Linked DNA regions of Callithrix jacchus. The protein of the gene in region 2 interacts with the protein of the main gene of each other region in a biochemical or structural test. Links are inferred from orthologs where the notes say so. Each region holds a gene or a part of one and is shown on either strand. Other genes may lie near its edges. The genes, in order: SRC, KHDRBS1, YES1, FNBP4, ITK, LYN and HCK.

The links.
Region 1: the proteins of KHDRBS1 (region 2) and SRC form a complex in vitro, tested with the Homo sapiens proteins (8 studies listed by BioGRID, with this or other methods). The link is inferred for Callithrix jacchus from reciprocal best matches to the Homo sapiens genes KHDRBS1 and SRC.
Region 3: of the proteins of KHDRBS1 (region 2) and YES1, one has a biochemical effect on the other in vitro, tested with the Homo sapiens proteins (2 studies listed by BioGRID, with this or other methods). The link is inferred for Callithrix jacchus from reciprocal best matches to the Homo sapiens genes KHDRBS1 and YES1.
Region 4: the proteins of KHDRBS1 (region 2) and FNBP4 form a complex in vitro, tested with the Homo sapiens proteins (2 studies listed by BioGRID and IntAct, with this or other methods). The link is inferred for Callithrix jacchus from reciprocal best matches to the Homo sapiens genes KHDRBS1 and FNBP4.
Region 5: the proteins of KHDRBS1 (region 2) and ITK form a complex in vitro, tested with the Homo sapiens proteins (4 studies listed by BioGRID, with this or other methods). The link is inferred for Callithrix jacchus from reciprocal best matches to the Homo sapiens genes KHDRBS1 and ITK.
Region 6: the proteins of KHDRBS1 (region 2) and LYN form a complex in vitro, tested with the Homo sapiens proteins (3 studies listed by BioGRID and IntAct, with this or other methods). The link is inferred for Callithrix jacchus from reciprocal best matches to the Homo sapiens genes KHDRBS1 and LYN.
Region 7: the proteins of KHDRBS1 (region 2) and HCK interact in a biophysical measurement, tested with the Homo sapiens proteins (2 studies listed by BioGRID and IntAct, with this or other methods). The link is inferred for Callithrix jacchus from reciprocal best matches to the Homo sapiens genes KHDRBS1 and HCK.

What each region holds. Positions count from the first base shown.
Region 1 is NC_133506.1:32,839,217-32,842,716, reverse strand, and holds part of SRC (proto-oncogene tyrosine-protein kinase Src), read right to left. Parts: intron 2,697-3,500; coding exon 2,620-2,696; intron 1,835-2,619; coding exon 1,681-1,834; intron 1,527-1,680; coding exon 1,395-1,526; intron 1,107-1,394; coding exon 898-1,106; 3' UTR 1-897. UniProt on the Homo sapiens protein: Non-receptor protein tyrosine kinase which is activated following engagement of many different classes of cellular receptors including immune response receptors, integrins and other adhesion receptors, receptor protein tyrosine kinases, G protein-coupled receptors as well as cytokine receptors.
Region 2 is NC_133508.1:68,627,225-68,631,179, reverse strand, and holds the start of KHDRBS1 (KH domain-containing, RNA-binding, signal transduction-associated protein 1), read right to left. Parts: upstream 2,801-3,955; 5' UTR 2,668-2,800; coding exon 2,286-2,667; intron 1-2,285. UniProt on the Homo sapiens protein: Recruited and tyrosine phosphorylated by several receptor systems, for example the T-cell, leptin and insulin receptors. Once phosphorylated, functions as an adapter protein in signal transduction cascades by binding to SH2 and SH3 domain-containing proteins.
Region 3 is NC_133514.1:63,289,954-63,293,453, reverse strand, and holds part of YES1 (tyrosine-protein kinase Yes), read right to left. Parts: intron 730-3,500; coding exon 521-729; 3' UTR 1-520. UniProt on the Homo sapiens protein: Non-receptor protein tyrosine kinase that is involved in the regulation of cell growth and survival, apoptosis, cell-cell adhesion, cytoskeleton remodeling, and differentiation.
Region 4 is NC_133511.1:112,816,462-112,819,961, forward strand, and holds part of FNBP4 (formin-binding protein 4), read right to left. Parts: intron 2,286-3,500; exon of another isoform or gene 1,968-2,285; intron 264-1,967; coding exon 127-263; intron 1-126.
Region 5 is NC_133503.1:20,008,514-20,012,013, reverse strand, and holds part of ITK (tyrosine-protein kinase ITK/TSK), read right to left. Parts: intron 2,418-3,500; coding exon 2,260-2,417; intron 1-2,259. UniProt on the Homo sapiens protein: Tyrosine kinase that plays an essential role in regulation of the adaptive immune response. Regulates the development, function and differentiation of conventional T-cells and nonconventional NKT-cells.
Region 6 is NC_133517.1:12,347,596-12,351,095, reverse strand, and holds part of LYN (tyrosine-protein kinase Lyn), read right to left. Parts: intron 2,105-3,500; coding exon 2,059-2,104; intron 878-2,058; coding exon 772-877; intron 1-771. UniProt on the Homo sapiens protein: Non-receptor tyrosine-protein kinase that transmits signals from cell surface receptors and plays an important role in the regulation of innate and adaptive immune responses, hematopoiesis, responses to growth factors and cytokines, integrin signaling, but also responses to DNA damage and genotoxic agents.
Region 7 is NC_133506.1:7,110,022-7,113,521, reverse strand, and holds part of HCK (tyrosine-protein kinase HCK), read left to right. Parts: intron 1-302; coding exon 303-506; intron 507-3,500. UniProt on the Homo sapiens protein: Non-receptor tyrosine-protein kinase found in hematopoietic cells that transmits signals from cell surface receptors and plays an important role in the regulation of innate immune responses, including neutrophil, monocyte, macrophage and mast cell functions, phagocytosis, cell survival and proliferation, cell adhesion and migration.

The DNA.
Region 1 (3,500 bases), on a different chromosome or scaffold from region 2:
CTTTCACCCTGACTCCCAGCTCAGACCCACATCTGCCTCCATGCTGTTCCCCAACAGCCCGGCCGAGCAGGCAGCGGCAGTGCGATTCTGCCATCTCGAACGCATCCTCAGATCCCTTGTCCCCTGGGTTGTCCCAGTCTTTTCGTGATGCCTCCCACGAACTGTTGGTTCCTGAGGAAGACAGAGGGAGCACCGGTTCCAAGCCGCCTCCACTCTGAACTGCTCTGTGGCCTTGGACACGTCACATCCCCTCTCTCGACTGTCTCCCCATCAGTGAAATGGGGGCAAGGAAGTGATGATCTCCAAAGGTGCCTCAGGTCTAAGGAGGCAGGGTTTGAGGGGTACTCATCCTACTGCCCAGCCTGGGAGCAGCGGCAGAGGATCCATCTCGGCTGCCTCTGCCTACAGGTGTTTCCAGAATGGATGGCAAGGGGCAGGATGGTGAGCAGGCGGGGCCAGGGGCCCATCGCTCCTCTTTGGAAAGGCTCTTTGGCCAGCTCTCGAGACAGATTGGGGGTGGCACGGAAGTGGGCAAGGAGTTCAGTGAGTGGAGTAGGCTGAGGCTGGAAAAGGCCATCCTCAGGCCCGGCCCCAGCCCTTCTCCCGGTTCCTCCTCCAGAGACCCACAGAGCTCCAGGAGGGAGTGCAAGGAGGGGCGTGTGGCTAGAGTGGGCGCTGGACAGTCACTGTGCTGGTCTCACACGCCTGCCGCCCTCTCAGGCCACCCTAGGTCCGGAAGCCCCTTCCATGCCGCCAAAGAGGGAGGGGCCTCGAGCCTGGCAATTCAGCCCCACAGAGAGAGGACCAACAGCAGGCAGGCAGAGCAGGGCGAGCCCCAAGACAGGGGCCACCCAGCCCAGGATCCAAGCCGAGAAGCCAGTCTGGGCCCGCCCGTGCCTAGAGGTTCTCTCCAGGCTGGTACTGGGGCTCAGTGGACGTGAAGTAGTCCTCCAGAAAGGCCTGCAGGTACTCGAAAGTGGGCCGCTCCTCAGGCTCTTTCCGCCAGCACTGGCACATGAGGTCGTGCAGGGACTCAGGACACTCGGGCGGGCAGGGCATCCGGTAGCCCCGCTCCACCTGGTCCAGCACCTCTCGGTTCACCATCCCTGTGGGCAGAGTGAGGCATGGGAAGCCTGGCTCCAGTAAGGAAAGTGGGGTGCGGGAAGCTGATGGGGAGGATGGTGAGGGCTTCCTGCCTAGGCCAGGTTGGGTGCAACCATGGGTAGGTCCCGTCCCCGAAGCTGAGAGCATGGACCATCAGGAGAGCCTAAGATCAGGTGCTCAACTTCTTTGTTGTATGGATGGGGAAACAGGCCCAGCAGGAGTCAGGTCTTACCCAAGGCCACCAGGGCAAGGGCTCAGGGACTAGAGACGGGCCGGGAGGACCTTCTTACCAGGGTAGGGCACCCGCCCCTTTGTGGTGAGCTCCGTCAGCAGGATCCCGAAGGACCACACATCCGACTTGATGGTGAACCGGCCATAGAGGGCAGCTTCCGGAGCCGTCCACTTGATGGGGAATTTGGCACCTGCAGGAACGAAAAAGGTCAGGGCAGCTCTGACCTGTCGTGACTGCTCCACCAGGTGAGCACCATGAGGAATGACAGATAAGGAAACTGAGGCTTGGGAGAGGACGTGACCTGCCCCAGGCTGCACGCCCCGTGCCACGAAGCCCCTGCCCACCTTGCCGGGCTGTGTACTCATTGTCTTCGATGAGCCGAGCCAGCCCGAAGTCGGCCACTTTGCACACCAAGTTCTCTCCCACCAGGATGTTGGCTGCACGAAGGTCCCGATGGACGTAGTTCATCCGCTCAACATATGCCATGCCAGAGGCGATCTGCAGGCAAAACCATGGGAGCCCAGCTCAGGTGCCACCCATGCCCTCCCAGGACCACAGGGCACCCAGGGCTGGAGAGCCATCCACCCCTCCCCCACCATCCCATGCTTCTTCAGGCAAGTGAGGTCAGTTCACGGTAAATGCTGTTGGCATCAAAAGCAGGAGCAGTGCTCCGCAGGAGGAGGGAGCACAGGGGCAGAGGGGAGAGAGCAAAGGGCAATGGGGAGGCCCGAGATCAGATGCAGCCAGGAAAGTGAGGTGACCATGGAAAGAGGCCCCAGCGGACCCAGACACAGACAAGTGGACAAGTGCCATGCCCTGCCTGCTGCCCAAGTCTCCTCTCTGAGCCTGTTTTCTCATCCATCCAATGGGAATAATAGCCAATCCTCGTCACTCCTGATGAAAAATGCTTGTCAAGCACTGCCTAAAGTCAGCACAAACACATGTCTGCTGAGTGACTAAATGACTATTGAGATGACAACTGAGTACATCAGTTGTACTGATGTACAGGGGACCTCGGGCCTCAGTTGTCATCTCTATAAAGGTGACCCCTGATATTAGTCAGTGACCCCTGATGCCCAGGTAAGGGCTTTCTGCTGCCCAGAACCACCGCTTAGGGTGCCTGTAAGTGGACCTGGTAAATACGTGTGGCAAGATCAGTGAGTGTGGGGGTAATCAAGGCAGGCTTCCTGGAGGGGGCACTCAAGAGGCCAGAACTGGCTGCACCAGATGGGTCTGGGTGCTTGAGGACCAAGGGTGTGGGGAGAAGGGAGGGGCTGACTAACCTGAGCAGCCATGTCCACCAGCTGAGGCAGCCGCAGGTACTTGCCCGTTTCCCCCTTGAGAAAGTCCAGCAAACTCCCTGGGCAGAGAAAGACCCAGCTCCAGTTCCTGCCCTGTCCCTCTGCCAGGATGCAGTGATTCCCAAACCTGTCCTCCCAGGTGGCTAGCCTTGCTATAACCAGCACAACAGATTTTATGTAAACTCATCTCTCAATAAAGTGCTTGTCACTCAAAAGGCAAGCAGGTTGGGAAACGACCAGATGCGCACCTCCAGGTGAACAGGTAAACTGTGTTAATGCGGACAATGGCGTCCTGCTCAGCGACAACGGGAACTAACTGCTGGGAGATGCCACAGGGACGCATCTCAGGCTGGGCACGGTGGCTCCTGCCTGCAATCCCAGCACTTTGGGAGACCAAGGCGGGAAGATCATTTAAGCCCAGGAGTTTGAGACCAGCCTGAGCTACACAGTACAAAAGATATAAACAAAAAAAAAAATTAGCTGGGCGTGGTAGGGTACACCTATAGTCCCGGCCACTTGAGAGGCTGAGATGGGAGGATCAATTGAGCCTGGGAGGTCAAGGCTGCACTGAGCTGTGATCACGCCACTGCACTCCAGCCTGGGCAACAGAGTGAGTCCTTGTATCAAAAAAATTTAAAACATTTAAAATTTAAAAAGTTAAAAAAAAAAGGATGCATCCCAGATGTAAAATATTTCATGTATGAAATTCTTGAATAAACAAAACAGATTGATAATGACAAAGTATATCAGTGGGTGCTTGGGTTTGGGGTTGGAGGGTGCTGTCTGCAAAGGGCCCAAGGAACTTTCTGGGTGATGGGGCTGTTGCTATCCCCATTATGGTGAGAGCACACAGTAAACCCACT
Region 2 (3,955 bases):
GTGCCATTGCACTCCAGCCTGGGTAACAAGAGCAAAACTCTGTCTCAAAAAAAAAATTTAATGTAAAGTGCTCAGACACCAAACATTAAATATAGCTATATTTTTCTTCCATGTTTTTATTTTATTTTATTTTATTTTTTTGAGATAGGGTTTCACTTTTGTTGCCCAGGTGGTGTGCAATGGTCAGACGTGGGCTCACTGCAACCTCCATTTCCCGGGTTCAAGTGATTCTCTTGCCTCAGCCTCCCAAGTAGCTGGGATTACAGGTGTGTGTCACCATGCCCGGCTCATTTTGTATTTTTAATTTTTAATAGAGATGGGGTTTCACCATGGTGGTCAGGTTGGTCTCAAACTTCTGACCTCAAGTGATCCACCCTCCTCAGCCTCCCCAAGTGAGCTACCGGCGCCTGGCCCTTCCATTTGTTCTTACTAGAACTTAAATATTACTATTCTATCTTCTCAAAGTCTCACTTCTTCACAGTGGGTTGTGACTTCGCTGCAATTCCTTTGCAAGATAATTCAGAAGTACCTTAAAAGCCAGGCTCTGGCAGGGCGTGGTGTCTTACGCCTGTAATCCCAGAACTTTGGGAGGCCAAAGTGGGCGGATCATCTGAGGTCAGGAGTTCGAAACCAGAGTGAGCAAGAGGTGAAACCCCATCTCTACTAAAAATACAAAAATCAGTCAGGCATGGTGGCACTCGCCTGTAATCCCAGCTACTCAGGAGGCTGAGGCAGAAGAATCGCTTGAACCCGAAAGGTGGAGGCTGCAGTGAGGTAAGATAGCGCCACTACATTCCAGCCTGGGTGACAGTGAGACTCTGTCTCAGAAAAAATAAAAAGCCAGGCTCAATATACATTAACACTTATCAATGCCACAAAGAATCCATACATCCCGATTTCATTCTTTCAGTGAACCAACATTACCTCAAACACACTTACCAATTTCAGTTTGGTTTAAAGAAAAAAAAAAAAAATTCATCCAGAAAACAGAAGTTAAAAATAAAGAGCGCTCTCTTAGTTAAGCAGTGAGGGGAGACTGAAAATTACAGGGAACTTTTAAGGGTCAATAGTTTTTGACAGTTATCTTAAAAAAGCATAAAAGATGAACACCACATTGGTAAAGAGCCCTTAACTTACAGTGTTGGGAGACAGAACAAAGGGAGGGAGGTAATATTTTCATAACGAACTGTTCATTATATTAACCTTGCCATAGAGTCCAACCACTCATTCAGTGTTGAATGATGGGAATTTTTACTTGCATACTAAAATTTAAGTATCATAAGAAATATTTATTAAAATAATGTTTTAACTAGAAGTGGAGGTCAGACAGCTTTAGGGAAAAATCAGGGCGACTAGGTGATTGGCCAATGCTGATCAGAAAAAGAGCGCTAATCTACAGAACAAAGACTCATTTCTTTTTCACTACTGAATAAAATATGTAAAACAAAGCAACAAAAAGACCAAGACTTTCAGTACAAGCATCATGCAACTTCTCTCAATTTCTGTCCATCTCGTTGGGAAACGTCATGAGAACTACGCGGCAGTCCCTATCGTCCCATTTCAACGTCTCTAGGGTTATTTCACTCCTTCTTCAATGGTGAACCCACGGTGTAAAATTAAAGACAACCTTCAAGCTCAGTATAGCAATTCTTATTTTATCAGCCTTAGTAGGAAATCTGATTCGAAAACCTCAAGCTCCGATCCCCATAAATCGCTCCTTCCTCCCAGCAACTTAAGCTGCGGTTACCGCTAAGTCCGGCTCGGCCCCAGAGACAGCGACGCGCTGGACAGGGCATTCCAGCCTCACCCCACCTCACCTCGGCCTTTCCTCCCACGGCCCCTCCCCCGTTCTGGCTGTCTTCACCTCCCACACCTCGGTCGAGGGGCTCATTGCCACTCGCGATCAAAAAGGCTTCCCCCTCGGGGAAAGGGGGAAATACAGGTTCATTTCTGGAAGAATCTGCGCGCTCGGAGCGCGGGGCAGCCGCAGGAGGAGGGAGGAGTGAAGAGTCGGGAAAGGGGCGGGGAGCTCAGCACTATCCATCAAGATGTTAGCGCTAGGAGATCGCAAAGTCGCCTTCGGGCCTGCACTGCAGCCTAGAAATTCTCCCTCGCACTCCAGACTGAGGTGGGAATGTGGACTCCAGGGTCCCAAAAACGAAGATGAGACCGGAGCTCCCGACTTCCTCGGTCCCGAGGGGGCGGAAGGCGAGAGGAACAAAGCCAGGGCCACTCATGCCTTGGGATGGCCGGGCGACCCAGAGGGACCCGGGAGGCCCCCTTACCTGCCGTCAGCAGCTGCATGGCGTGAGTGAAGGACGGGTCGAGTGAGTCCTTCTCCGCCATGAGTTCGGGCAGGTACTTGTTCTCCGGCTCCATCTTGACCGAGGCTGTGGCTGAGGGGGGCAGCAGCGGGGTCGGAGCTGGCCCGCCCACTGTCGCGTCGGGACCCGTGGCCGAAGGCGGCAGCAGCGGTGGCGGCTGCGTGGCGGGCGAGGCGCGGGCACCTCCGCGGGATCCCCCTCCGCCTCCCCGGGACCGGTGAGGCAGCGGCGGCTGCCGAGACGGCGTCTGACGCACCGAGGGGTGGGCACCTGAAGGGTCCATGGAGCCGCTGCGGCCCGAGGACCGGCTCATGCGTGCGGCGGGGTCGTCCCGGCGCTGCATCGGGGAGGATGTGCGATCGAAGGAGTGAGAAAGCGACGCGGTAGCGGCGGAGGCCCGGGCGGCGGTTGGCGGGGGTGGGAGAGCGGGAGCGGTAGCGACCGAAGCCGACCCTAGCGACCCAGCGAGAGAGAGCACCGGAAATGAGGCGGCGCGCGTGCGCAGCCAGTCACCGGCACCGCCCTTGGGTTTCTCCGCGGAGAACAAAGTCCCCAGTCCAGCCACGGCGCCTGCGCACCACCGCGGCGTACGAAGAAGTGGCCTCCCGACTCCTGCTTTCCCTCCGCGCCCGCCAGGCCAGAATTTGGCGCGCATGCGCGGGAGGCTGCCGGCTCAGTTCGTTTCCTTTTCCACGTGACTCGGCGCTAGCGGGACACGTGGGTCCTTCCCCTTCTGGTTCAGTGGGCGGAGGGGGCGGGGGCTGTGGAATGTCTTTGTCTACGCGCGGGCCCGCCGAGTGTGGGGCGGGAGACCTGTTACTCGCCGGGCCACGCCCTCCAACGGCCGAAAGGCACGGACATTTTAGTGCGCAATGGGGTGGGGTGGTAAGGCGAGTAGCTTGGGGGCGGTCACTGAAGTGAGAAACTAAAAGGAGACTGCGGTGGGAGACCCAGAAAGGGAAGGGAGAGAGAACTGAGGCTGCCTAGGGAGGAAGAGAGGTGGGGGAGAGACAGAGACTGCACAAGGAGAAAGAAAGACTAAGGGAGAGTCTGACGCAGCAATAGCAGGGGAGATGGGGAAGGGAAACCTGGAGGGAGAAATTGAAGAAGGACGGCTTGGTGGAAACACTAAAAGCAATTGGAGGACTTGACCTAAGAGGGAGGGTTCGGATCAGAGACCTGAAGTCTAGCAAAGAAAAGGGCCCCAGACAGCAGGGAACACGAGAAGTCATTGCTAGTGTTATATATATTTCCAGTATTACATATATTGCAGTCGGTTCTAAAACGGTTGCCATTGCTGGTCAGGGAAATCTTAAAAGAAGCAGCATTTTAGCTCTTTTTACATATTTTACTGCTTTCTGTGACTTAACGTTTTGTTTAGCCGTCATTCTTGCCAGTTAAGTGTTTTTTCCGTCAAAAAGTGGGATAGAGACCAGATCCTTAATCGACGTTGGTTGCATCATTAGGATGGCTCCTTCTACCATTCCAGACTGGCTTAGAGAGACCCTTGCCACTACTCTCAAGGCCAAGGTACATACATAGTGGACAATCTTCAACGGCGTTCTCCACATCCTAGAGTGCTATATGCAAGTGGAGCCTTAGGTTCCTACTTGTCCCATAAACCATCAAAA
Region 3 (3,500 bases), on a different chromosome or scaffold from region 2:
GGCATATATTAAGATTGCATATTGACTATTTAACTTAGAAAAAACTTTTGAGAAGAATAAATGCAAGAAACTTTAAAAAACTGGAATGGAATTATTTGGTCCCATGATATTCCTTAATTTTAGATTTCATTATGGTAATAGTTTTTATCTCTCAAGTTTCATCGGTAACAATAAATAATTTTCTTTGAGCAATTCTGAGTTTGGGGAAGAAAAGAAAGAAAATGATTTATAAGCAGTAGCCTCACTGTCCTTCATGACCATGCTATCACCCACACTGTCATCAGTATCTTAGCTCTATTTTCTTTGGACCCTGAAATAGGTTGGAAAATTCATCATTGGTATGTTAGAGTTTAATACTTGGGAACAAAAAAAGTGGTTTTGTGCAACCATATCTGGGATTCCAGTTTGCCACTAAAAACATGCAGAGTAAAGAAGAATTTCTTCTTTTGATTCCTGTAGAAATTCTATACAAGTTATTTATATTTTGGCAGATTTGTGCATATAAAATAGGCTACTTGAATTATAAATTTTCTCCTGGCTGGTACTGTGGCTCTGTGGCAGTGAAGTAGTCTTCCAAGAAGGACTGAATATATTCAAATGTTGGTCTTTCATCAGGGTCCTTCTTCCAACACTGATTCATCAAGTCATGGAGGGATTCTGGACAGCCCTGAGGGCAGGGCATCCTGTATCCTCGCTCCACCTGTTCCAGTACTTCACGGTTCACCATACCTAACACACAAGATTAAAACATTAAAGAACAATGGTCCTAAGTACCACTAGGAAAACATAAACCAAATAGTCACTAACTGATTCAAAGTATATTAATTTTATTTAGTGAAATAATTCTTTTAACAAAGCAACAAAATATATTTTGAAGGAGAGTATCAAGAAAAGCTTAGAAAATGCTAACCTATGTTTTAACATGTCTAATTTTTCATTCCATCTAATATCTTATTTTTAATACCAATGTCTTCAAAAGCCAACCCCATTTGATTAATAAGAATTAGGGAGCCGCTCTGAGGTACTGGTACTTTCTAATGTTAACATTAAAGAATGACCAAACTTGGGCTACTGAGGAGTGGTGGCAAGATTGTGTCTGAAAATATTTTAAAATAGGAATTGAGAAGAAAGTTCTAGTCTTGGTTTTGCCAAATATACTAACTATGTAACTTTATACCAAATTACTTCCTTGAAACAGTGTCCTTATCTAGTATCACCTGTTTCACTTTCTTCAAGATATTACACATAGTTTCTTTTTTGTGTTCCTTTATAATTCCCCTTCCCCCAACCCCCTAACAATAAGCAGCTCATCCCATCTTATCACAGGCCAGCAAAAAGCCTCCTTTTCCAAATTTTTCCTGACAGTGTCTCACCAAGCCGACAACCCCACCATGCTTCCCATCTGGCGCATCACCTTCCCTGCCTGCCTAAGTCAGGCCATCCCTCATATCTCTTGTAAACTTTATCAACCAATCAGGAATGGTTTTTAAAATGGACTTGATTCTCTCAAGAAAATGTAATGGGGTTAAATCATTATTTAGATTTTTAGTTATTTCTTTTTGAAGAATAACTGATTTCTCAAAATAAATTTCTTAAACTATCTTTAAAAAAGCCCTATATGACATTACTTTGAAACTCAATACTTAAAAGGAAGTTTTCTGAACTTTTCATCTAAATAGGTAGTGTTATCTTCATAAGTGAAATCCGGCCAGGCGCAGTGGCTCTTGCCTGTAATCTCAGAGCACTTTGGGAGGCTGAGGCGGACAGATCACCTGAAGTCAGGAGTTCAAGATCAGCCTGGCCTGCATGGTGAACTCCTGTCTCTACAAAAATACAAAAGTTAGCCGGGCACGATGGTGGGTGCCTGTCATCCTAGATACTTGGGAGGTTGAGGCGGGAGAATTGCTTGAACGGGAGGCGGAAGTTGCAGTAAGCCGAGATTGTGCCACTGCACTTTACCTTGGTGACTTAGTGAGACTCTATATCAAAATAAATAAATAAATAAATAAAGTGAAATCCAGTATATTTTACCAACCATCAAAATACAAGAAGTTGTTTCAGGGGAGGAGAAAAGGAGCAAGGGAATTAATATTCGATGAGGGCTTACTATAATTGAACTTTTTTTCCTTTTTTTCTTTTGCTATGCTAGAAAAATCCTTTTAGTACGTTTTTTCTACTCTGTTCTTTTATTTTAATTGACTGTTAGGATTAATCAATCTAAATAAGCCAGAACCTACAAAAATAACTTCTAATTACTAATAAGCTTTCACTTCACTCTTCAGAATTCTATAATAATTAGAACTATTATTTTATGCCAACCAGGTGTGGTGGCTCACACCTGTAATCTCAGCACTTTGGGAGGCTGAGGCAGGAGGATCACCTGAGGTCAGGAGTTTGAGACCAGCCTGGACAACATGGTGAAACACCATCTGTACTAAAAATACAAAACTTAGCTGGGTGTGGTGGCACATGCCAGTAATCCCAGCTATTCAGGAAGTTGAGGCAGAAGAATTGCTTGAATCCGGGAGGCAGAGGTTGCAGTGAGCTGAGATCATGCCACTGCACTCCAGCCTGGGTGACAGAACAAAACTCTGTCTTTAAAAAAAAAAAAAAGAAGAAAAATATATAAATACTCAGCATACTGTCAATAAATGTAAGCATTTCATACCTCTTAGCATTTATCAAGGTTTATTACTGTCCCCAAATAAGAATAGTAAACAGAAGCTGTTGCTTTGAAATGGACAATCTTCTGTGAGAAGAGCATGCAGTGGAAAGGTCTGTGCTATATGTGGAAAGTTCTTTCCAAATCCTCTAAAATCATAAAAAAAAAAGACAGTAAGTGTCTATTTTCCTTTTCCTTTTTTTTTTTTTTCAGATGGAGTCTTGTGGATTGGGGTGGGCGGGGTCTCAAAAAAAAAAAAGATGGAGTCTTGCTTTGTTACCCAGGCTAGAGTGCAGTAGCGCAACTGGCTCACTGCAACCTCCATCTTCTGGGTTCAAGCAATTCTCCTGCCTCAGCCTCCTGACTAGCTGAAACTACAGACGACTGCCACCACTCCCAGCTAAGTTTTGTATTTTTCGTAGAGACAGGGTTTCGACATGTTAGCCAGGATGGTCTTGACCTCTTGGCCTCGTGATCCACCTGCCTCAGCCTCCCAAAGCGCCGGGATTACAGGCATGAACCATCACGCCTGGCCTAAAGTATCTCCTTTTCTACTTTAAAGACGGGTAACCTACAAATTGTTTAGATTTGGATTCTCATCTGAACATTGAATTTAACTAGAATATCCTGATCATATAAATGTTTATGCATTTTGAAGCTATGTAGTTACATAGCTCATTTTGGATTTTTATGTTTCCCTGCTGTACTGACCCTTTTATCATCATAAAATGTCCCTTTTTGCCCCTAGTATTATTTCTTGCTTTAAATTCAGTCTACTGCTATCCAGGCTTTGTTTCTTTGGTTAGGATTTACAGAGCACATCTTTTTCCATCCTTTT
Region 4 (3,500 bases), on a different chromosome or scaffold from region 2:
AAAAGAGTTGGAAGGAGAGGGTGAAAGGAGGTGGACGACAGTGAATTGACAAGTAGGATGACTACTTGAGATTCTGGTCCCAAAATACCTTCAATAACTAAAACCCCAAACCAAAGCACCACTAACCGCTAGGAAGTTGGCTAATGTACTATCAATATCAGTCGACTGGTTTCCATTTGTCTCTTTGGATTGTGCTGGCTTTTCAGAAACATCATTGTCGTCGTCATCACTGTCAGCATAAGCACCAAGTAAGCATAGACCGCCTAGAAACAAAAAGGAAAACAGTATTTGGTTTTTTTTTAAGAGACGGAGTTTTGCTCGTTACCCAGGCTAGAGTGCAATGGCGTGATCTCGGCTCACCGCAACCTCTGCCTCCTGGGTTCGGGCAATTCTCCTGCCTCAGCCTCCTGAGTAGCTGAAATTAAGGCATGCGCCACCATGCCCAGCTAATTTTTTTGTATTTTTAGTAGAGACAGGGTTTCACCATGTTGACCAGGATGGTCTCGATCTCTTGACCTGGTGATCCACCCGCCTCGGCCTCCCAAAGTGCTGGGATTACAGGCTTGAGCCATCGTGCCTGGCCTAGAAAACAGCATTTATAACAATGGCAATAAGTCCTAGGAATGTCTAAGCGAAAGTATAACATGGTTTTTTTTTTTAACTTACTTACAAATAAGAACATAATCCCAAAACTAATAATCACTGAACTATCACAGAACTATAAATTACATCGAATGGTTAAAGCTAATAAAAACCATCTATAGCCAGGGGTGGTGGCTCACGCCTATAATCCTAGCAGTTTAGGAGGCTGAGGCAGACAGATTGCCCAAGCTCAGGAGTTCAAGACCAGCCTAGGCATCAGCGTGAAACCCCATCTCCACTAGAAATACAAAAAAATTAGCCAGGCGTGGCAGCGTGTGTCTATAGTCTCAGCTACTGGGGAGGCTGAGGGAGGAGAACTCCTTAAAACCGGGAGGCAGGGTTGCAGTGAGCTAAGATTGAGCCACTGTACTCCAGCCTAGGCAACAGAGCGAGACTTCCCCCTCCAAAGAAATAAAAAAAACTTGATCTATGGGCCATGCACCACAACTTATGTCTATAGTCTCAACCTCTTGGGTAGGTTCTGAGGTAGCAAGGTCATTTGAGCCCAGGAGTTTGAGACCAGCCTTGAAAACATGGTGAGACCTTGTCTCTCCAAAACAAAAATAAAAACAAAAGAAGAGGAAGAAGAATATAAAATTAGCTGGGCGTGGGGCTGAGATGGGAGAATAGCTTGAGCCTAGAAGGTTGAGGCTACACTGAGCAGGAACATCTCCACTGCACTCCAACCAGTGACAAAGTGAGACTGACCATGTCTCCAAAAAACAGCAACAAAAAGAACAAGAGAACAAGAAAATTAATCCGCATAGTTATTTCAATTATTCAATCTCACTCTCTCTTCCCAAATAGTACATAGTATATCCTGATTTTAGAATTTAGTGATTAAAGTGTTTACCTCAAAGTAAGCAAATTACAGTGTAACAGTTGAAACAAAGACTTTACAAAAGAAAACAAATTTAAAAAAAAAGAGTAACAAAGACTTTCAAAGTTAAAAACAAAGCTTTTCAGTAGGAAGTGATGGATCACACTTGTAATCCCAGCACTTTGGGAGGCCAAGGCCGGCGGATCACCTGAGGTCAGGAGTTCAAGACCAATCTGACCCACATGAGGAAATCCCATCTCTGCTAAAATTACAAAAAATTAGCCAGGCATGGTGGCGCATGCCTGAGTTCCAGCTACTCAGGAGGCTGAGGCAGGAGAATCCCTTGAATCTGGCTGGGAGGCGAAGGTTGCAGTGAGCCGTGGTTGGGCCATTGCACTCCAGCCTGGGCAACAAGCAAAACTCTGTCTAAAAAAAAAAAAAGCTGCTGCTGGGAGTTGCTTGGAGGTTGGCGGTGCAGGGCTGAAGGCTAGCAGACGGAGTCATCATGTTGCACAAACAAATTTACTGTTTGGACAAATACGAGGAGTTTGAGTATCGGCATGTCATGCTGACTAAGGACATAGCCAAGCTGGTCCCTAAAACCCATTTGATGTCTGAATCTGAATAGAGGAATCTTGGCCTTCAACAGAGTCAGGGTTGGGTCCATTATATGATCCATGAACCAGAACCTCACATCTTACTGTTCTGGCGCCCACTACCCAAGAAGCGGAAGAAATGAAGCTGGCAAGCCACTTTTCAGCCTCACGCTTTACACAGCTGTCCTTACTTCCTAACATCTTTCTGATGACATTACTGTGTTGCCTTCCTGTTTTTCACTTTGATATTTAAAAGATGTTCAATACACTGTGTGAATGTGCTGGTAACTGCTTTGCTTCTTGAGTAGAGCCACCACCACTACAGCCCAACCTGATGAGTGCTCTGTGGGTCCACAGCCTCAGCTGAGTGTGACCCCAGAAGCCACGGTGTGCTGTCTATCCAGAGCACACTTGGCAGATGGAGGAAGCATCTGAGATTAAGACCCTGGCTGTTACAGGGATCGTGTAAACTTGTTTTTGTTTTTTCCTGCTGGGTGTTGGATGTATGGTGACTTGTGGATTTATGTTTCATTGTACTGGAAACGTTACATTTTATTCAAGAAATCTGTTCATGTTATAAACCTTGATTAAAGAGGAAGTTTTTATAATCTAAAAAAAAAAGAAAGAAAAGCTTCTAATCAATGATTATTCCTGAAACAGGAAGTGGCATAAATTAAAAATGGGGCTCAACATGGCTAAAACCAATTATTGTCTTCCTTAAACTCAAATGGTATCAGGGATGGCCTCTGTAATGCTGCTACGTCATTTCCTTTTGGATCACCTCTGGTAAGATTACAACTAACTAAGCACATGTACCTCTCTATATATGTTATTTTATTTAAATACGTAAAATGTTAAATTCTAGCTAAACTTTTTCAACTATTACTTATACTAAATTTCAGTGCTGACACATTCTATGCTCTCACTAAAAATTTGGTAAATGAACAGATTTATCAGAAAATAAAATTAGTTTTCTGTGTCATACATCCCATACATAAACTCAAAGGTCACCTAAAAGTAAACATAAATTGTTCCATTAGTCATGTAAGAGTTCACATTCAATGCTTTGGTATCATAATTCCTGCCTTCATTTTTTTTCATTTTGTATGTAGTATGAAGGTAAGTTCTTAAATAGCAATTTCTTTCTTTCTTTTTTTTTTTTTTTTGAGATGGAGTCTCACTCTGTCACCCAGGCTGGAGTGCGGTGGCACGATCTTGGCTCACTACAACCTCCACCTCCAGGATTCAAGAGATTTTCCTATCCAGCCGGGCGCGGTGGCTCACACCTATAATCCCAGCACTCTGGGAGGCCAAGGCAGGTGGATCACAAGGTCAAGAGATCGAGACCATCCTGGTCAACGAGGTGAAACCCCGTCTACTAAAAATACAAAAATTAGCTGGGCATGGTGGTGCGCACCTGTAGTCCCAGCTACTCGGGAGGC
Region 5 (3,500 bases), on a different chromosome or scaffold from region 2:
GCATATGAAAATGTTCTTAACATTGAATGTCATTAGGAAAATGCAAATTAAAACAATGATGTAATATAACTACACATCTATTAGAACCACTGAAATCCAAAACAACAAATGCTAATGAGGAACTCTCGCTGCTGGTGCGAATGTAAAATAGTAGAGCTACTTTGGAAGACATTCTGGCAGTTTCTTAAAAAGTTAAACACAGCCTTACCATATGATTCAGCAAGCATACTCTTAGGCACTTACCCAACCGAGTTGAAAATTTATGTGCATACAAAAACCTGCACATAAACATTTATAGCAGCTTTATTCATAATCGCTTAAAACTGAAGGCAAGCAAGATTTCCTTTAGTGGGTAAATAAACAAACTGTGGTATATCCATACAATGGAATATTATTTAGCAATAAAAAGAAATGAGCTATCAAGCTAAAAAGCCATGGAGTGACCTTAAAGGCATATTACTAAGTGAAAGAAAGCAGTCTGCCTGGATGCTCATACCTGTAATCCCAGCACTACGGGAGGCCTGAGATGGGTGGACTGCCTGAGCTCATCTGGGCAGTATGGCAAAACCTTGTCTCTACCAATAATGCAAAAAATTAGCTGGGCATAGTGGCTCATGCCTGTGGTTCCAGCTACTTGGGAGGCTGAAGTGGAAGATTCACTTGAGACTGGGAGACAGAGGTTACAGTGAGCTGAGATCGTGCCACTGCACTCTAGCCTGGGTGACTGAGATCCCATCTCAAAACAAAACAAAAATTCAAACAAATAAAAAAACTTGAAAGCAACCAAGATTTCCTTCAGTAGGTAAATAGATAAGCAAACTGTGGTATATCCATACAATGGAATACTATTTGGCAACAAAAAGAAATGAGCTATCAAGCCATGAAAAGACATGGAGGGACCTTAAAGGCATATTACTAAGTGAAAGAAATCAGTCTGAAAAGCATACATGCTGTATGATGCCAATATACGACATTATGGGAAAGGCAATACTATGGAAACATTATAGAGATCAGCAGTTGCCAGTGGTTTGGGGATGAGGAGAGGGATAAATGTGTGAAGCACAGGAAATTTTTAGGGCAGTGAAACTATTCTGTCTGATATTATAATGGCAGATACATGGCATTATTCATTTATCAAAACCTACAGAAATCTATAGCATAAAGACTGAACCTTAACATAAACTATGAACTTTAGTTAATATAATGTATCAATAAAGGTTCATGAATTGTAACAAATTATCACACACTTGCCAAATCTTAGTGAACAGAGAAACTGCTCAGGTGAGGAGGGTATTTGAGAACTCTGTACTCTTTGTTAAAAAATAAAGTCTATAAATTTAAAAAATCAACAAAAGATGTTTAAAAGAGGAAAAAGTGCCAACTGAACATCAGCTGTCATTATTATTATTGTAGTTAATCCTTATGAAGTGGATAAGATTTGTTTCATGCCCTTGTTTATGACTTTATTGTTTCTTTGTTCCTCATTATAAAGGCTCTATGAACCCATACATCAAGCATTATTTAATTCTCTTAACAGTAAGAAAAAGGAAGTTCAGAGAATTGTTGAAGATAAATGGCAAATAAATGGTAAAGCTGAGACAAAATCCTAGTGTTCTAAATTGTCTGTATTCCACTTTGTTGTCCTACAATGATGTGAATTTTTACTAATTCTCTATTTCAGCAACTTTCCACTTTGGCTGAAATGTACAATTTTCTAACTCACCAAAGACCATCTAAGACTCATGCTGATGGGGCTCAACCCATGGCCTGCAATCCAAGGATGGGATAGCCAGCCAGGTGGGTACAAAGGAAGTGGCTCCCCATTTTAAATTGCTGAATGAATAAAATGAATTCAAATTAATCCATTTCAATATTTTCATAGTGTGAGTGAACTTTGTTCCCCAAGTTATAGAACTAACTTCATGTACTTTTAATGGTTTTATGATGTCACAGATTTTATTTCTTTTCTCAGAAAATTGAGAAGGAAGTTGGCATAGGTCACACCCCATTCTCCTCTCTGAAGTTATGCTTATGGCTTGTGACATTATATAGTAAACAAAATAATATTTAAGGTCACCATCAGCTCCATTAGGGATGGGGGATCTATCCTGTTAAAAGACCCTCAAAGTCATGTTGTTGTTAATCTATATGAGTCATCCCTCTTGCCTTAGCCTTCTGAGAGGGTTACTTTCTCTAGGGAAGGAGGCAGGTCCTGAAATTGTATATGACGATGCAGGGGAAAGCACTTCCTCCACTGACCTCTTTCCAGCAGTGATTCATAATCTGGTAGACATGTGAGGAGGCTAGCCGGGGCTTGTACAACCGAAATCCAGTACTGATGTCTTCTACCACCTCTGAGTTGCTTCGGTTTTCATATGGGATTTTGCCTTCACTGAAAACTTCCCACATCAGCACACCTATGAGAAATGGTATGCACAGCACAGTGAATGACAAAGCCCACAGACAGCAAACAAAGCAACCTCCCCCTAGAAATTTCAGACTCGTTGGCATTAGGATTCATGTGCTACCTCCAGAAGTACATCAAGTCTACCTGAGGTTTATTAGCCCTGTCCTATTTTTAAAGAACTGAAATTTCCAACCTTTCTAGTGGAGAAGGATTTTCAAGATGGACCCTTTGTTATATCAAACTCAAATGCTGCCACTAACAGTTGTAGACTCAAATGCCAACGTGCAATATGTAAATGAACGGAGTGCAGGAAGTATGATAGGGGGAATTGTGGAAAATGAGATAAACAGCTCCGTCTTAAGGAGACAGCTATGATTTGACTCCAGCCAAAGTATGGCATATGAAAATGAGGGATCAGAACTGTTACAATTTCTGATTTTTGAAAAGGAAGTCAAAAATTAAGAGGTGAACTTCTTGAATTTTAAAAACACCATGTAGACCAAGCAAAATACATCTTTGGCTTATCTGTTTTTGACCTCTGATTTAATTCTTTTCCTTTCTTCTTCTGCCCTTAGTAGAATTGTCAGCTTTGTCCTTATCATGTGCTGATATAGTCACAGGTTGTCAGACCAGGAAGACTGCTTGTAAATCACCTAATCCAGCACTTTTCAAGGTTCGTTCCAGAGAATCTTAGAGTAGACATTCCCAAAGCATGATTCCCAAAACACCGAATAAAAATCATTTCAGAGGCTTGTTCAAGTGGCAGATTCCTGGGCCCTAGCCCAGACCCAGTGGAACAGAATCGCTAGGGGTTACTCAGAGGTGCCTCAGGAGTTGGAAATTGACAACCTGACCCTAAATAAGAGTGTTTATCACCCAAGATACCAGAATTTTTAGTGAAAATTGTTTTGAATATGCGCTGCTGCTAAAACATGGTTTCAGAATGATTGCCTTAAGACATAGATGCATAGAGGAGAAGCGAATAGATGAAAATATTGAGTGAAGTGCAAAGAGATTGACTTGTTCAGAATAGCACACTGCTAATTAGGATGAAAAAACCTTAACACATACAACAAAGTCCAGCGTGCTGATG
Region 6 (3,500 bases), on a different chromosome or scaffold from region 2:
TGACGACACCCAGGCTTCCTCACAGAAGCACAGCAACTGCTGAGCTGAGGATCTTCCAATATGGCTGCTGTAGCTCAGCACCCTTAGAACTCAAACTAGGTTGGGCCCATCAACCCAGTCTAAATGTGAGTAATATAACAAAAGAAAAATGGCATTTCCAATATTATGCATGGGCCACACAGACCCAAATTCCTTAAGGTGGCAAGATTGGATAAAGAAAGAAACTAGGCTGAGTGTGGTGGCTCACACCTGTAATCTCAACACTTTGGGAGGCCGAGGTGGGAGAATTGCTTGACAGCAGGTGTTCAAGACCAGTCTGGGCAACATAACAAGGTCCCATCTCTAAAAATTTTAAAAATTAGCCAGGCATGGTAGCACATGCCTGTAGTCCTAGCTTCTCATGAGGCTGAGGTGGCAGGATTACCTAAGCTTAGGAGTTTGAGGCTGCAGTGAGCTATGATCATGCCACTGCACTCTAGTCTGGATGACAGAGAGAGATCTCATCTCTAAATAAATAAATAAATGAATAAACCAGCATCTGTCTCCAAAGGGAACCCCCTGCAGAGTGCTCACAGCCGGACCTAGAAGGAAAATCCCTTTGGCCCTTTTCCTTCCACTGCCCACTCCCTGTGGGTAGCAAGGAGGCCTCATGCCCATTGCAGGAAGGGGGCCAGGCTACAGCTGCGGCATCAGAAGCAAGACAAGGGGACAGCCTGCAGGCCTCAGTGGCCCAAGGAAAGGAGCAACCGCCGCATGTTTGAGAGCACTTACTCCTCCAGGACTTTCATCTTCTCTCCTTTCTTGAAAGACAGGTCATCTGGGTGGATGCCATCATAGGGGTACAAGGCTACCACGATGTCTCCGTGCTCCTCCGGATCTAGAGATGAGCACAAGAGAACACCTGTAAGAATCCATCAGCGGAAGTGTGTTAACCATCCTCATGAGGCACAAAGGACATGAGGAAGCACTAAGAGAGGGGCGATGGGAAGAAGGACATGTGCTTCCTACCTCGCGGGCTCATGTCTGCACGGCCTACGGAGAGTAACTTGCTGTATACACTGTGTCCAGTATTTGCTATTGCAAACCACCGAATCACTGAAATCTACAACTATAAATACAACTCTGTATTTAAGAAATAGATTCTGATTCCAGATACACCAAATTCCCCGTCTATTTTAAGAAATGATACACCCATATTCACAGCAAGATTATTCAAAGATGTGGAAATAATGCAAACATCCAATGACGGAGGAATGGATAAACATCATGGGGCATATAGATATAGATATAGATACAGATATAGTTTTTTTAGATGGAGTCTCACTCTTGTTGCCCGGGCTGGAGTGCAATGGTGCAATCTCGGCTCACTGCAACCTCTGTCTCCTGGGTTCAAGCAATACTCTTGGCTCAGCCTCCCAAGTAGCTGGTATTACAGGCACCTACCACCATACCCAGCTAATTTTTTGTATTTTTAGTAGAGATGGGGTTTCACCATGTTGGACAGGCTGGTCTTGAACTCCTGACCTCAGATGATCCACCTGCCTTGGCCTCCCAAAGTGCTGGGATTACAGACATGAGCCACTGTGCTTCACCAGGGCATATACTTACAAGGGAATATTATTCACCCTTAGAATAAAAGAAATTCTAACACTTTCTACAGCATGGATGAACCTCGAGGACATCACCCTAAATGAAATAACCCAAACATGAAAGGACAATTACTATATGATTCCACTTCTAGGAGGTACCTAGAGCAGTGAAATTCATAGAGCCAGAACAGAGGTTGCCAGCGGCAGGGGGATGAGGCAGGAGGACTTATCGTCTAATGGGTATGGAGTTTCGGTTTGAGAAGATGCGTTCTGGAGATGGAGGGCGGTGATAGTTCCACAACAATGAGAATGTACCTAATGCCACTGAAATGTAGACTTAAAAATAGTGACGAGGGTCCATTTTTATGTTATCTATGTCCCACATTAAAAAAAAAAATCAAGACAACCACTTTATAGAAGCTCTAATAGTAAAGAAAAAAAATTTAACTATGTTGCTGTGAAGACATACCTTTAGTTTGAAACCTCTGTCCAGGCAAAAGCTGAGATTCTGAAACCTACAAGAGAATATTCGTTAGGGAAAAATATTCTGTTTAGCTTTTCTTGCTGACATTCATGTTGTATATATGATTTTTGTAATAGAAGCAGATGCTGTTAGATGGGCTCATTCATGAAGTTGGAAAGAACAGGAGCACAGAGGAAAAACCTGTAGAGCTTCGTCCAGCTCTGCTCGGCCAGTGAAAGGGCTCTTTTGTCACTTGCTGTGGGTGGCAGGAAGGGAGTGAGGTTCCAGACGGGGGCTGCTCGGTGCTCACCTCATCCTAACCCCCCCATTCTTTGGTGACAGAACCCTAACATTGTTTGGGGTGGCAGTTTGCCCAGCTCAATGAGTGTGCTTGCAAACCCTCTAGCCCCGGGCAGATGGCAGAAAGTTTCAGTCAGCAGATCAACTGTTCAGGCCTTTGCCATCAGCTCCCCTTTTCCTTTGCCTCTTTCTCTCTCCCTGGAAATAAGTGAAGACTGGAGCCCCAGCAGCCATAGAAACCAAACATCAGGGCAGCAGGACGGAGACGGAAGTGGCGGGGCCTGGTGACTCAGTGGAGTTGCTGTCCCCGCCCAGGACTGCCCATCCAAGGCTTCCCCAGTTTGAGTGAAATTGCACAGTCAGGGCTCTGTCCCTGGAGGCTGAGAGCAACTCCTGTCTCATCCAGCTTCTCTTGGGCTGATCCCATGACTCAATCACAGGAACAGATGGCATCCCCTGTTATTTCAGTGGGGAGGTGAGTTATTGGGAAGGATGTGGTGGCACAAAAGGCCATCTCAATTACTTTTGAAATCAAATTCCTTTTTCTCACAGTGCCATGTGAGGCTGTGTGAGGCCTCTGGGCCTCTTGTAGGATAGGGGCTGTCAGAGACCTGTCCCACAAACCATGTAACTTTTCTGTTTCTCTTTGATTAAAGTGGCTTCATAGAATGGGACAAAAACAGTTTGCACTGAAATTCAAATTTCTGATGAAAGCCCACAAAATCTCCAATTCAGTGAGGTGAGGAAAATGACTACACTGTAGTACCAGAAAAACCCATGGCTGTACATATCATGTTTATGTCAAGAAGTTCTATGTCGATTTTTCAGTCATTCAGATTTGCATAATTTGAATAATACAATCTATTTTATATGATTCAGAGGAAATAACTGGAAGACTAGAGACTAATTTCATCATTTTCGAAGCAGCAAGCTGATTTTTCAAATATCAAAGAGCCCTTAATTTACCATTTTAATATACTTTTTATAAGACCAAAACACACCTATGCAACGCATATACTATCGCTCTAGATTTTTCCTTAAAATGGCTTTTTCTGGAATGTTGTTGAATTTTGCATCAGCTCAACCTCACCTTCTCAGCAGATTCCCCTTGTAGTCAGTCCATGGCCTGCATTTTGGCACATGTGGCC
Region 7 (3,500 bases), on a different chromosome or scaffold from region 2:
AAACAGCCTATGCAAAAGTAGGTAAAGGAGTTTAGCCTACTTGGCAGGAGCCCAGGGGGTGGTGGGAGTTGAGTGAGACCCAGCCTGGGCCTTAGCTGGGCCTCCTGCAGATGCCAAGGGCAGGGCTCATTTGAGTATGTAAATTCCAGGGGCCCAGAGGACACCACAAGGTGTAACAAAAGACTACTTTCAGAGCCTGGAATGCCAGAGGGATATGGAAATATGTTTTCACTCCAGTGGGCCCAGTCTCCTGGGAGACAATAGACTGATCTGTTGCTAAATTATCATCTCCAAACTCGCAGAAACCCTGCTGGGCAGCAGTCACGGACCAGGGCAAGAGCCACTCTCCCTGTTTCACAAAAGGGAAACAAACCAAGGAAGGAAAGAGGTTCTGGGCCTTCATCTGTCCAGAAGCAGAGGTAGACTCAGAGCCCAGGGGAAGAAAGGAGCCCACCTGGGGCCTTGGTCCTCACCTCCAGACTCGGAGAGGCAGCTTGGAGCAGCAGGTGGGTTCCCCAGCCTGTCACCACCAACTGGCTATTGACGTCCAACCCACTTTGGGTCTCAGTCTCCCCATTTGTCAAATGAGGGAACTGGACCACAATGTGGGTTTTTTGTTTTTTTTTTTTTTTGGTAGTCACAGCTGCGTTGGCCAAATGAAATGGTGTGCAGTAACTGAGTAAATACAAACAGGCCAAAACAGGGCTGCTCTGACCAAAGCAGGGTGAGGGGCTTATCTGTGGCCTTTCTTTTGTCTCCCCCGCCCCCATATAACCTTGAGGCATCCATAGGATTCATTTTGAAGAGCTCTACAGGTCTTTCCAGGTCTGATGCTGTGACACCCCGATACTCTTGGAAGCAAACCCAGTTCCAATGCCCAACCTCATGGCACCCTGTCTGGGGATCATTAAAATCTCACCACCTTATCAACCCCCAGTGCTGACACCTGGGCTCAATAAACCTACTCATTACTCATTCAGTCAGCAAACCCTTGAGAGGCAGCACTACTAACATCTGGGCTTAGGAGTCACATTGAGTTTTGTTTTGATCTCAGCTCTGCCTGTGTAGCTTCGAGCAAGTAGCTTAACCTCTCTGAGTGCCACTTTCCCCCACTGAGAGCACCAGGAGCCACTATTGAAATATATACTTCACTATGTGCTAGACACTCCACTAAGCCCTTGATGTAGGCTTAGGGGATTAATCTTCACTTGACCCCTTGGAACCGGGTGCTATTACAGAGAAGAAAGTGAGGTACAGAGAGATGACACAATTTGCTTGACATCACAGAGCTGCAGCACGCAAGCTGAGCTGGTCCAGCTCCAGAGCCATTTAGTCAATACCCTCTGCTGTCTCCTGAGTGGGGTGTCAGCCCCAGTCCATTGAGCTCCTGTGAAAATCAGTGGTATGAGCATCTGCCAGTGGGGATCAAACAGCGGTAACTCCTGGCATTAGAGCTTGTTCCAGAAGAAAAGCCAGGCAAAAGGGTTGGGCAGAGTAACAGGCCAGTGCACAGACCCCAGGCGGCGCTTTTGGAGTTTCAGCCCGGGCTCCGCAACTTGCAAGCTGTGTAAGCTGGGGCCACTTACCTATTTCTCTGGGCTTCAGTTTTCTTATCTGTGGAAAGGGGGCTGACAGCAAAAGTGCCTCCTCCAAAGCACAAGGTACATGTCACTTAAGTATTTAAGTATCATCCTGTAAACAAGCTATGATGTCTGTTAATCGTTCGTCTAAGGACTCATAAATTTCCCACACTCCCAGGATCAAGATTCTGTCTCTCACTTCCTCCTGGCAACCTCATCCCTATCTCGTCCCTACCTCCTACGACTCCAAACAAAATCAGTCTCTTCCAAGCTTTTACTGAAAAGTCTGGGTCTCCCTTAGAGACCCAGGGAGGCTCAGGCCTGTAATCCCAGCGCTTCGGGAGGCTGCGGTGAGAGGACCGTTTGAGCTCAGCCTGGGCAACACAGGGGCCCAGGAGGCAGAGATTGCAATGAGCTGTGATCCCACCACTGCACTCCAACCTAGGTGACAGAGCAAGAGCCAGTCAAAAAAAAAAAAAAAAAAAGCCTGGATCTCCATTCTAACTGCCTCAGGTGCCCCCTGCTGTCCACTCCCTGCAAGTGCGCCACTCACTTGACTCAGTCGCTGGGAGGCCAGCTGGTGGTGCTTTGATTGGTCTGTCTAGTCTAGTCAGACGCTCTCGCTTCCAGAGTAATTTCATCAAACTGCACCCAGCTGCAGTCCGACTGGAGTGCTGGGTTATTTAGAGGCAACAGGAAGCACTAGATTGGGAATGCTCAGACTGGCTTGAGCCTGACATTCAGAATGTTTCTGGTGGTGTGAGCTGGAACGAGTGTTTCCATGTCTGTAAAACAGAGATCAGATCATGATCATTCCTGCCTCAAATTGCTTGTCGCCCAGTTTGTCAGCCAAAAGTGCTGCTTTCTGGGCATCTGAGGGTTCATCTTCAACCTCTTTTGTCCACACCCTTGTAAGTAAAAATGACTGTGAGATATAATCCCTGTGTTTTCATCAAAGGCTTCTAGGGCCCCCAGTGTGAATAAGAATCCTCCATGCAGTCTGTTTCACTCGGCAGCCATGGTGATCTTTAAATGTACATCAGAACATGTCACACTCCTGCCTGAAGGCCTCGAATATCTCCCCATCACGCTCAGAATAAAATCCACCCTCCTGTCCTGGCCGACAAGGCTGTTCATGATTATGGCCTCCCTTCCAACTTCAGCTCTCCCCACTTTCTCTGTGGCATCTTCTGCTCGCCACACTGGCCTCTGTGCTGTTCCACAAACACCCAAGCTCTTTCCTACCTCTAGGCCTTTGCACCTGATGTTCTCTCTGCCTAGAATATTCTTATGTGACACACTTATTATTATCATCATTCCTATCTTTGCTAAAATCTCACCCCCTCAAAGCAGGTTTCCCTGAACACCCAATCTGAAAAAGCCCTCTACGGGTCATCTTTTGTTACTCTGTTTTATCTTTTTTTTTTTCTTTTTTGAGACAGAGTCTTGTTCTGTCACCCAAGCTGCAGTGGCATGATCTCGGCTCACTGCAGCCTCTGCCTCCCAGGTTCAAGCAATTCTCATGCCTCCACCTCCTGAGCAGCTGGGATTAGAGGCGTGCACCACCACGCTCATCTTCCTTTTGAATTTTTAGTAGAGACAGGTTTTGTCATATTAGCCAGGCTGGTCTTGAACTCCCGGCCTCAAGTGGTCTACCCACTTCGTCCTCCCAAAGTGCTGGGATTACAGGTGTGAGCCACCACGCCCGGCCTGTTTTATCTTTTCTTTATGGGACTTTCTACCTGCAGCAGTTTTGCCTGGCTCACCACCTGTTCAAGCAACATGTCTGGCACCCACAAGACAATCAGTAGATTTCTGTTGAGTAAATAAGTGAATTTTCCCTACCCAGGGCTGGGGCATGAGAAAGATATAAGAGGTATAGCAGAATATGACATGAGCCTAGATAGTCCCCAGAAAGAG